2 linked regions of the Callithrix jacchus genome follow. The protein of the gene in region 1 interacts with the protein of each later gene in a biochemical or structural test. Links are inferred from orthologs where the notes say so. Each region holds a gene or a part of one and is shown in the gene's direction. Other genes may lie near its edges. The genes, in order: RNF114 and XAF1.

The links.
Region 2: the proteins of RNF114 (region 1) and XAF1 form a complex in vitro, tested with the Homo sapiens proteins (2 studies listed by BioGRID). The link is inferred for Callithrix jacchus from reciprocal best matches to the Homo sapiens genes RNF114 and XAF1.

Annotation. Positions count from the first base shown.
Region 1 is NC_133506.1:45,486,229-45,490,500, forward strand, and holds the start of RNF114 (E3 ubiquitin-protein ligase RNF114), read left to right. Parts: upstream 1-1,169; 5' UTR 1,170-1,179; coding exon 1,180-1,319; intron 1,320-4,272. UniProt on the Homo sapiens protein: E3 ubiquitin-protein ligase that promotes the ubiquitination of various substrates. In turn, participates in the regulation of many biological processes including cell cycle, apoptosis, osteoclastogenesis as well as innate or adaptive immunity.
Region 2 is NC_133506.1:73,177,685-73,181,494, forward strand, and holds part of XAF1 (XIAP-associated factor 1), read left to right. Parts: intron 1-1,356; coding exon 1,357-1,552; intron 1,553-2,751; coding exon 2,752-2,837; intron 2,838-3,810. UniProt on the Homo sapiens protein: Seems to function as a negative regulator of members of the IAP (inhibitor of apoptosis protein) family. Inhibits anti-caspase activity of BIRC4. Induces cleavage and inactivation of BIRC4 independent of caspase activation.

The DNA of each region.
Region 1 (4,272 bases):
ATTCTGGAGATAGCTGATGGTGATGATTGCACAATATGAAATGAATGTGCTTTGTTGTTGGTTTTTTGGTTTTGTGTTTTTGAGACGGAGTCTCACTCTGTCGCCCAGGCTAGAGTTCAGTGACTGTTGGAGTGAGTGAGCGGTCTTAGCTCACTGCAACCTCCGCCTCCGGAGTTCAAGCGATTCTCCTGCCTTAGCCTCCAGAGTAGCTGGGACTACTGGTGTGCGCCACTATGTCCTGCTAATTTTTATGTGTTTAGTAGAGATGGGGTTTCACCATGTTGGCCAGGCTGGTGTGGAATTCCTAGGCTCAAGCGATCCGACTGCCTCGGCCTCCGAAAGTGCTGGGATTACGGGTGTAAGCCACCATGCCCAGCTCCTATGTATAAATAAATGATACTGATTTTCTTCTTGCAGCTCAGGAATTAGATCTGTTATTAGAATTTGTTTGGTTAAATTTAAGAAAGGACTGGGCACTGTGGCTCACGGCTGTAATTCCAGCACTTCAGGTTGCCGAGGCGAGCAGATCGCTTGCGTCCAGGAGTTCAAGACCAGCCTGGGCAACATAGTGAGAACTACCCCCACCCCCCGCCACACACACACAACCCCTGGCCAGCACCTCCCGCCCTGCCCCGACTCCTTTCTCTGTCTCTACAAAAAAAAAAATACAAAAATAAATGAGTTGGGCATGGTAGTGACTGCCTGTGGTCCCAGATATGCAGGAGGCTGAGGTGGGAGTATTGCTTGAATCCCGAAAGTCGAGGCTGCAGGGAGCTGCGATCGTGCCACTGAACTCCAGCCTGGGCGACAAAGCAAGACCTTGTCTCAAAATAGATTAAATAAATAAATAAATTTAAGGAAAAAGCAATGATTTGAAGAGAACTAGTGATAGTGCAAGTGGTGCCGAACTAATGACTTACATTTGGAAAACAGCGGTCCACGCGCAAAGACCGTCACAAATCTGGCAGCCTTTGGATTTGGCTTCCACGTTTTCCAGATTGCCTTCGGCCTCTAGGTCGCTCAGGTCAGAGGGGCCGGGAGGCGCGGCCCACCCACGAGCCCCGCCCCCAACAGCGCCCCGCCCCCAACAGCGCCCCGCCCCCACGCCCGCCTGCCGCGAGCCCCGCCCCCTCGGCCTACTCCTCCTCAGCCGCCGTTGCGCGGCTCTTGAGCAGCAAAATGGCGGCGCAACAGCAGTGCCGGGAGGGTACTGCGCAGCTGGCGGGGTCGGCGGCGGAGGCTGACCCCCTGGGCCGCTTCACGTGTCCCGTATGCTTAGAGGTGTACGAGAAGCCGGTACAGGTGCCCTGCGGACACGTGTAAGCGGCGAACCCGGGCCTGGTAGGGGGGCGCCTGACTGGGAGGGGAATGGAGCCGAGGAGCGAGGCCCCGACGAGTTGGGTCTCGGGGCGGGAGCCAGAGGTGACCCAGAGGGGCCTCCCGGCGGGGCCCCCCAGGGCTCCTAAGGACCTTGAAAGCTGCCGGGGCACTCTTCTGTTCCGCCCTGCTCACTCCCAAGTATCCAGTCCCTCCGCCCTTAGCTGGGCAGCTGCTGTCCGTTGAGCGCCTGCGGTGCACCCGGCGGCCTGTCAGTCTCCTTCTCAGACGAGATAGTGAAATCGTGCCCTATGAGGACTTTAGGCTCTGAAGTCCGCCTTGGAGTGCCGACGTTTCTTTTCTAGTCCATGTCGCTCTGAAAGCATAGGCCATTTGGCATCGTGTCTAGCTGTGCCGAGTTAGTCCAACGTGGAGTAAAGTTGGGAGAAACGCTGAACTAGACTAAAACAAAAGGGAAGTCTATGTGGATCTGGCCAGTCTGCCCTTACCTGTGAAAGGGGGTGGGAGTTGGCAGACGGATTGTTAGCGTTCTCTACTTCCTGTGTAGGAGGTTTGTTTCTTTCGATTTCCAATGAAGCCTTCATGACCTGAATACTGTGAATAGACTGGTTATGGTGATTAAAGTAGATATGTGTAAAAATGTCCAGTCCAGGTCCTGGGCTGTGGCCGGGGCTTTCGAGGTTGGCGGATTTGAATCTAAGCCTTGTTCCATTAGATGCACAAACACACGTGAGCTGAAAAAAAATTGTAGGCAACGTGGCCACCTGCTTCTTGCCTCTGAGAATTGGCTTTTCCTCCGGCCTCTCTCGGTGTTTATTGTGGGATCAGCTTGGCACTGGTCTTGGGACCCCTTCACTAGGCAGCAGGCACAGTAGCCATTGCACTTCATGGCCGTTATTCTGTAACCACCCTGCAGCGGGGTAGGGTTCGTAGCCATATTACAGGTGAATACACTGAGGGTCCGAGGCTCACTTAAGGAAGGCTCATCGTGTCCTAACTCTTCCCAGATGGACTTCAGGTGACTGTTTTGTTACTCCGGAGAACAGTGGTTGGCACCTGGCAAAGGCTCCCAGCCGCACTGGCTGCTTTTTGCTTCTTCATGTAGCTTTAGGCTATTCCTCTTTCCAGTTCAGTTAGCCTGGAACTCTTTTTAATTTTCTCAGGCTTCAAGTCCCAGGTTAAGTTACCTCACCAAACACCATTCCTGTCTAAATTACTTCCCCCACTTCCTTTCTGGGGCTTAACTTCCTTCTTGCTTACAGCTCATGAAGGAGTGGCCGTATGTTTTTTGCCCCTCAACTGACTGGAATGCCCTCTGTGTGCCAGATCTTGGAGTAAAGTAGAAAGGTGACTGCCTTCTGAGTTTTACAGTTCAGTGAATTGATTATAAATAAGTACCGGTCAAACTACTGTAAAAATTCCTTCTGCAAGTAGGAGGGTATTTCAGGGATCACACCTCTGTCTGGGGTGAGTGATCAGGTAATGGTTGAATAAACTAAGAAATTAGTGGTGGAAGCAAACTTCACTAGAGTTGAAGTCTTTAGCTAGCTTTTTCATTGAATCCGTTTATCCTTGGCTCAGACTTACCTACTTTTGGATTAATTCAGTGGATTTCATTTACTATTAACATTTGTAAAAAGGTTAGACTTGGCACAGTTTGCTAAATGAAGAGCAGCAAAATTTGAGGTTTCCTTGAGCTAGGTGAACGTTTCCTAGGTCAGAGGGCAAGGAGTTGTACTGGGATTCAAACCTTGGCTTTTCCCTATACTCACTGTCCTAGCCCCACGTGCTGAGCAGTTCAGTGCAAATTGAAGACAGATGGGAGCACCTCTGTGAGGGCAGCCTGACTTAGCTCTAGCCCCTTAGCTGGAGCCAAGTGCTTTCTGCTGTGCCTAGTTGATTTTTACCTTTTGTGCTTGGAAACTTGAACATTACTGCAACTCTGGCTGGGGCATTGGATTTTTATAAAACTGTATTTCAAGCCCTGAATGACTGCATTCTCCAATCTAGGATAATACAGCTGGAAAAGGGCAGCTGGCTGGGTGCACAAGAGGGGAATTTCTTTCTAGCACTGGACTGGGGTGAGTGTCAGAAGGCTGAACTAGAAAGGGGCCCATAAGTAGGAAATAGAAATTGAAAAGCCAGCCCAGGATATTTGAGCAGTTCAAAAGCAGTTTGGTGGTTTGGGTGTGTCTCAGGCACAAAGTGGCTCGTGAACATTTGATAGATGAGCTGTACCACCTATGTATGTGCTTGAGAAGAGACTTCAGGCTGCTTTTATCTGCATGCTGGGTTCGGTTCCACTATACTCACTGGACCCTCGGCGGTCTCTTGGGTTCCTCTTGTGATCTGCCTTTGTGAAGAGGCAACACAAGTGATGACCGCAAGGCCCTGCCTGTCTCTGCTGCCTCATCGCTTGCCCTTCTCGCCATGGTCTACCACATTGTGGCTCCCAAGGCCTGCCTGCCTGCCTGTCTTTCCAGTGCTCATTTGTGTTTGGCATCATCTCGGTGTGGAGTTCTGCACCCAGATCTGTGACTGTCCTCGTAATTGGGTCCCACCCAGCTCAAATGCCAACTCCTCAGAAGCAGCTTTCTGTGATCACCCCAGCTGGTCTCTTTGCCATATTTCCTTCATATATTTTATCACTATCTGAAATTAACATTTGTGTTTCCCTTCACTCTAGAATGTAAGTTTCATGAGAACAGGGCTTTGTCAAGTTTCCACTCTGCCCTCAGTGGCAAATGAGTAGATTCTCTCACCTCTGAACCTGATCTGGAATTCCTAACAGCATTGACATCTAACTTAATGACAGAGAGGAAGGAGATTCTTAGAGGCAGTAGAAAGTGGTCAAGTGTTCAGAAAATTGCCTTTTATTATACATCCTTAGTTCTTTCTGGCAGATTGGGTTATACTGTCTTAATCTATCAGGTT
Region 2 (3,810 bases), about 28 Mb from region 1:
CCTCCCTGTGGGAGAGATGGGGTCTGGGAGTCAGGGAGTGGGACCAGTCTTGCCTACAGGAGAGATGGGGTCTGGGAGTCGGGGTGAGGGTCCAGTCCTCCCTGCAGGAGAGATGGGGTCCAGGAGTTAGGGTTAGGGTCCAGTTCCAGTCCTCCCTGCAGGAGAGATGGGGTCTGGGAGTCAGGGAGTGGGTCCAGTCTTGCCTACAGGAGAGATGGGGTCTGGGAGTTGGGGTGAGGGTCCGGTCCTCCCTGAAGGAGAGATAGGGTCTGGAAGTCAGGGTGAGGGTCCAGCCCTCCCTGAGGGAGAGATGGGGTCCTGGAGTTGGGGCAAGGGCTGGGGACTTAAGGCAGGAGTCCAGTCCCCCAGGCAGAGACTCACTTGAGGGCCATGGGAAATCATTTAGTTCCTTCACAGGAAGCCGCATGGGCAGGAAATGTTAATCCTGCCTTTTTCATGCTAATCTGAGCCTACCACCAATTTTCCCATCTCCAGTCCTTTCCCTACAGGCTTATGGGTCTAGCATAGGCAAAAGGATCTGGTTTCAGGAAAGATTGGCTCTTCTCTTGAGACCCGTAAAGAGGGGACATGAAAAGGAAAGCCCCAGAAGGCAGTCAGGTTGAGCTTTGTTTCCTGCCTTTCATGTCCATGCCTCCTGGGCCCCTGATCTGTCTCTCTGGAGATACTCAAGCTCAGGCATCCATTTCAACTCAGACTGGTCTGACAAACACTTCTTGAACACTGGGCTGGCGCTAGAGAGAGACTGAGGTAACCACACTGGATCCCTGCCCTCTAGGAGTTCACAGACTCCAACCTGGAACACTGTGAGCCAACATGGATGTGGGACAGGCCCAGGGTGCTGGGTGGAACCCACATCTGGGGTGTGTGTGTGTGTGTGTGTGTGTGTGTGTGTGGTGTGTGTTTAGGTTGGGTGTACGATGTGTCAGAAGAGCATACAGAAGTCCTCACTGGCGTTTCATGAGGTAAGACTTCATGTGATTTCTCCTTTACAGACAAATAGGCCAACCTGAGAAAAGGAGAGGAAGGGGAAAGGGGAGGCCGATAATAGAGAATTCCACCTGACCACTTTTTACACCCCATCAGGCTTAGAGAGCAGTGAAGAACTAGCCCACTACATGACACATGATCTCCTGTCCCCCAGATACTGGCCAGAAGTGCTTTCCATGGTCCATGAGTTCAAGAGAGCTCAGATCCCCCGAGGGCAGTCCCTCACTCTGGCCCTTCTCATCTGCTATCTCTTATTGGCTGTAATTCCCTAGGGAATTGGGCACAAGTCCTTGATCTGTCTGCAGTCAAAGAGGCCAGTGATCATGCCCTTCCTGCTGCCTCCCACAGGCCAAGGAGTGCCAGGAACACTCCGCTGAGTGTAAGTTCTGTGAGCTGGACATGCAGCTCAGCAGGCTGGAGCTCCACGAGTCCCACTGTGGCAGGCGGACGGAGCTTTGCCCAGGCTGTGGCCAGTTCATCACACGCCGGGTACTCACCGAGCACACACGTTTCTGTTGGAGTCAACAGGCCCAGCTCGGGAAAGGTGAGCACACAAACTGGGGCAGAAGAGAGACATTCTGAGGGCCAGAGCATTTTCTGGATGGGATGTGAGGAATGGAAGCTCTCAGCAGCATGGATGACAAGTGTATTTGCTGTGTAGGTCTCAATTCATCCAGCTATTCTCATTCTAAACCATGCATTAGAGTGGCCTTCCTGTCTGTCTGCCATAGTCTTCAAATGACTGGTCCAGGGAGACCAGGGGGCTGGGGCTAGAGCCTGCCAGCTGCAAAGTTGAGTAAGGAGGCCATGGGGAGTCCCAGGAAACAGGAGGCTTTCTTTGAATGCCTCCAGCACAGTCCTAGCCTGGCAGAGATCCATTGATTTCTCATCCTTTTACAGATGAGAAATCTACACACAGAATAAAGCAGGGGCTTGCTAGAGGCAGAAATAAGACTGGACTTTCACATTTTCCACCAAATCTAGGGCTTTTTCCATTATCAGTAATGGCCAGAAGGGACCTAGCTATAACTCCTGGCCTTGGAGCCTATGTATTGGCTCCCTGGTACCATTTTATGTTCCCTTGACTCACATACCTCTTTACAAGGGTATATTTACTGTCACTGTCACACAGTCATTAATGTGACAGATCCTTTGCTGTCTTTGCTGGTTGTTTTGGTAACATGGTAACATAAGAGACAGCCTAAAACTCCCCAGACAGTTCTCTCCTGATAAACAATCTACCCAAGGTCAAAACTGGCCAATGAAAAACTGAAAAGTGTGAGATTCATGTACATTTCCTTCATCCAGCATGGCTGGATTTCAACAGAACCAAACACAGTCTTCAACACAACAATCAACAAAGATGCGTTCAACCAACACCTGGTCCAATCACAGAGCCTGGAAACTGGTGGGATGAAGAGCAGTTAGATTGGAGAGGATTGGCATCCCTGGCTAGAGTTCCATTCATCCCCATAGAAAGCAGTCCCGCTCCGGAAGATGTCTCTCCATCAGGGTCACTACTGCCCTAAGTGCACATCTGTGGCCATAAAGGAAATGATGTGAGTGACTCTGCCAAGAGTTGCCTGTGTAGTCAAGGATGCCAGCAGTGCAGGAAAGTCAAAGCCAGACAGGCCTGGGGGCAGTTCATGCTCATGAGTACGGGCCATATAGACAGCTGTGGGCGAGCTGGGCTAGCCATCGTCAAGGGCAATCATTTGTGGTGTTGTTTCTGTGCTTATTCAGGGGAAAGAATTTCAGCACCTGAAAGGGAAATCCACTGTCATTATTGCAACCAAATGATTCCAGAAAATAAGTATTTCCACCATATGGTGAGTAGCAGTTAGTAATTTTCTAATGGTGCCAATAGTTAGTCCACATTCTGAAAAGTAGGATAGGAAAGGCAGATTCTGGGCCCAATTTTGCGTAGCATGAATATTAAATGATCATATATATATATATATATATATATATTTTTTTTGCTTTGTTCAAAAAGATATTTTAGTGACTAGCTTAGGCTAATCGAGCACACACAATTGGTCTTCCTTTGTGCCCAGCCCTTCAGGGGGCCTCCCTCACCACTCCTAATACCCGCGATCACCTCTGACCATCTCCAACCTTCATGACCTGGACATTGCAATTTGGTCCTCAGTAGGGCCTGTCTTACTGTTTTCTGTCCCATGTAGGAGTCTTCTCTATTAAACTGTGAGCTTCCTGCAAAACTGAATGACTTTTCCCATTTTCCTGGTATCAGGGCTTGGTGCAAAAAGGGTACTCTGTAGAGATGCAGTCATTGGTTGACTGACGGGCTGGTTCTGTCTGGGAACACTCAGACTCTTCCCTCCATAGCCCTAAGCGCCTTTTCATGCATTGCTGTGCCAAGTTGCTCCCTTCTTTCGGACAGAATGGAGCATTTTTCCTTTGGGAAACTTACCAAGGCTTCTCTCCAAGGAACTCATCTCCTTGGACAGAAAGTTGTTTACTTTCTTAACACTTCAGTTCCTAGAACTACAGAATATCAAAACTAAAGCAGCCATAGAAAGGATTCAGCTCTTTGCTTTTTTGTTTTGTTTTGTTTTTACTAGTGTGGGAAACCACATATAATGTAAAACTTGCCACTACTTTTGAGACAGTTGGTACATTCAGAATGTTGTGAATCTAGTTCTAGAATATTTTCATCATCCCAAAAAGAAATGCTGTGCCCATTTGCAGATACTATCCATTCCTCCATCTTCCCAGTTCCTGGCAACCATTAATCTACTTTCCATCTCTATGGATTTGTCTATTCTGGATACTTCACATCGA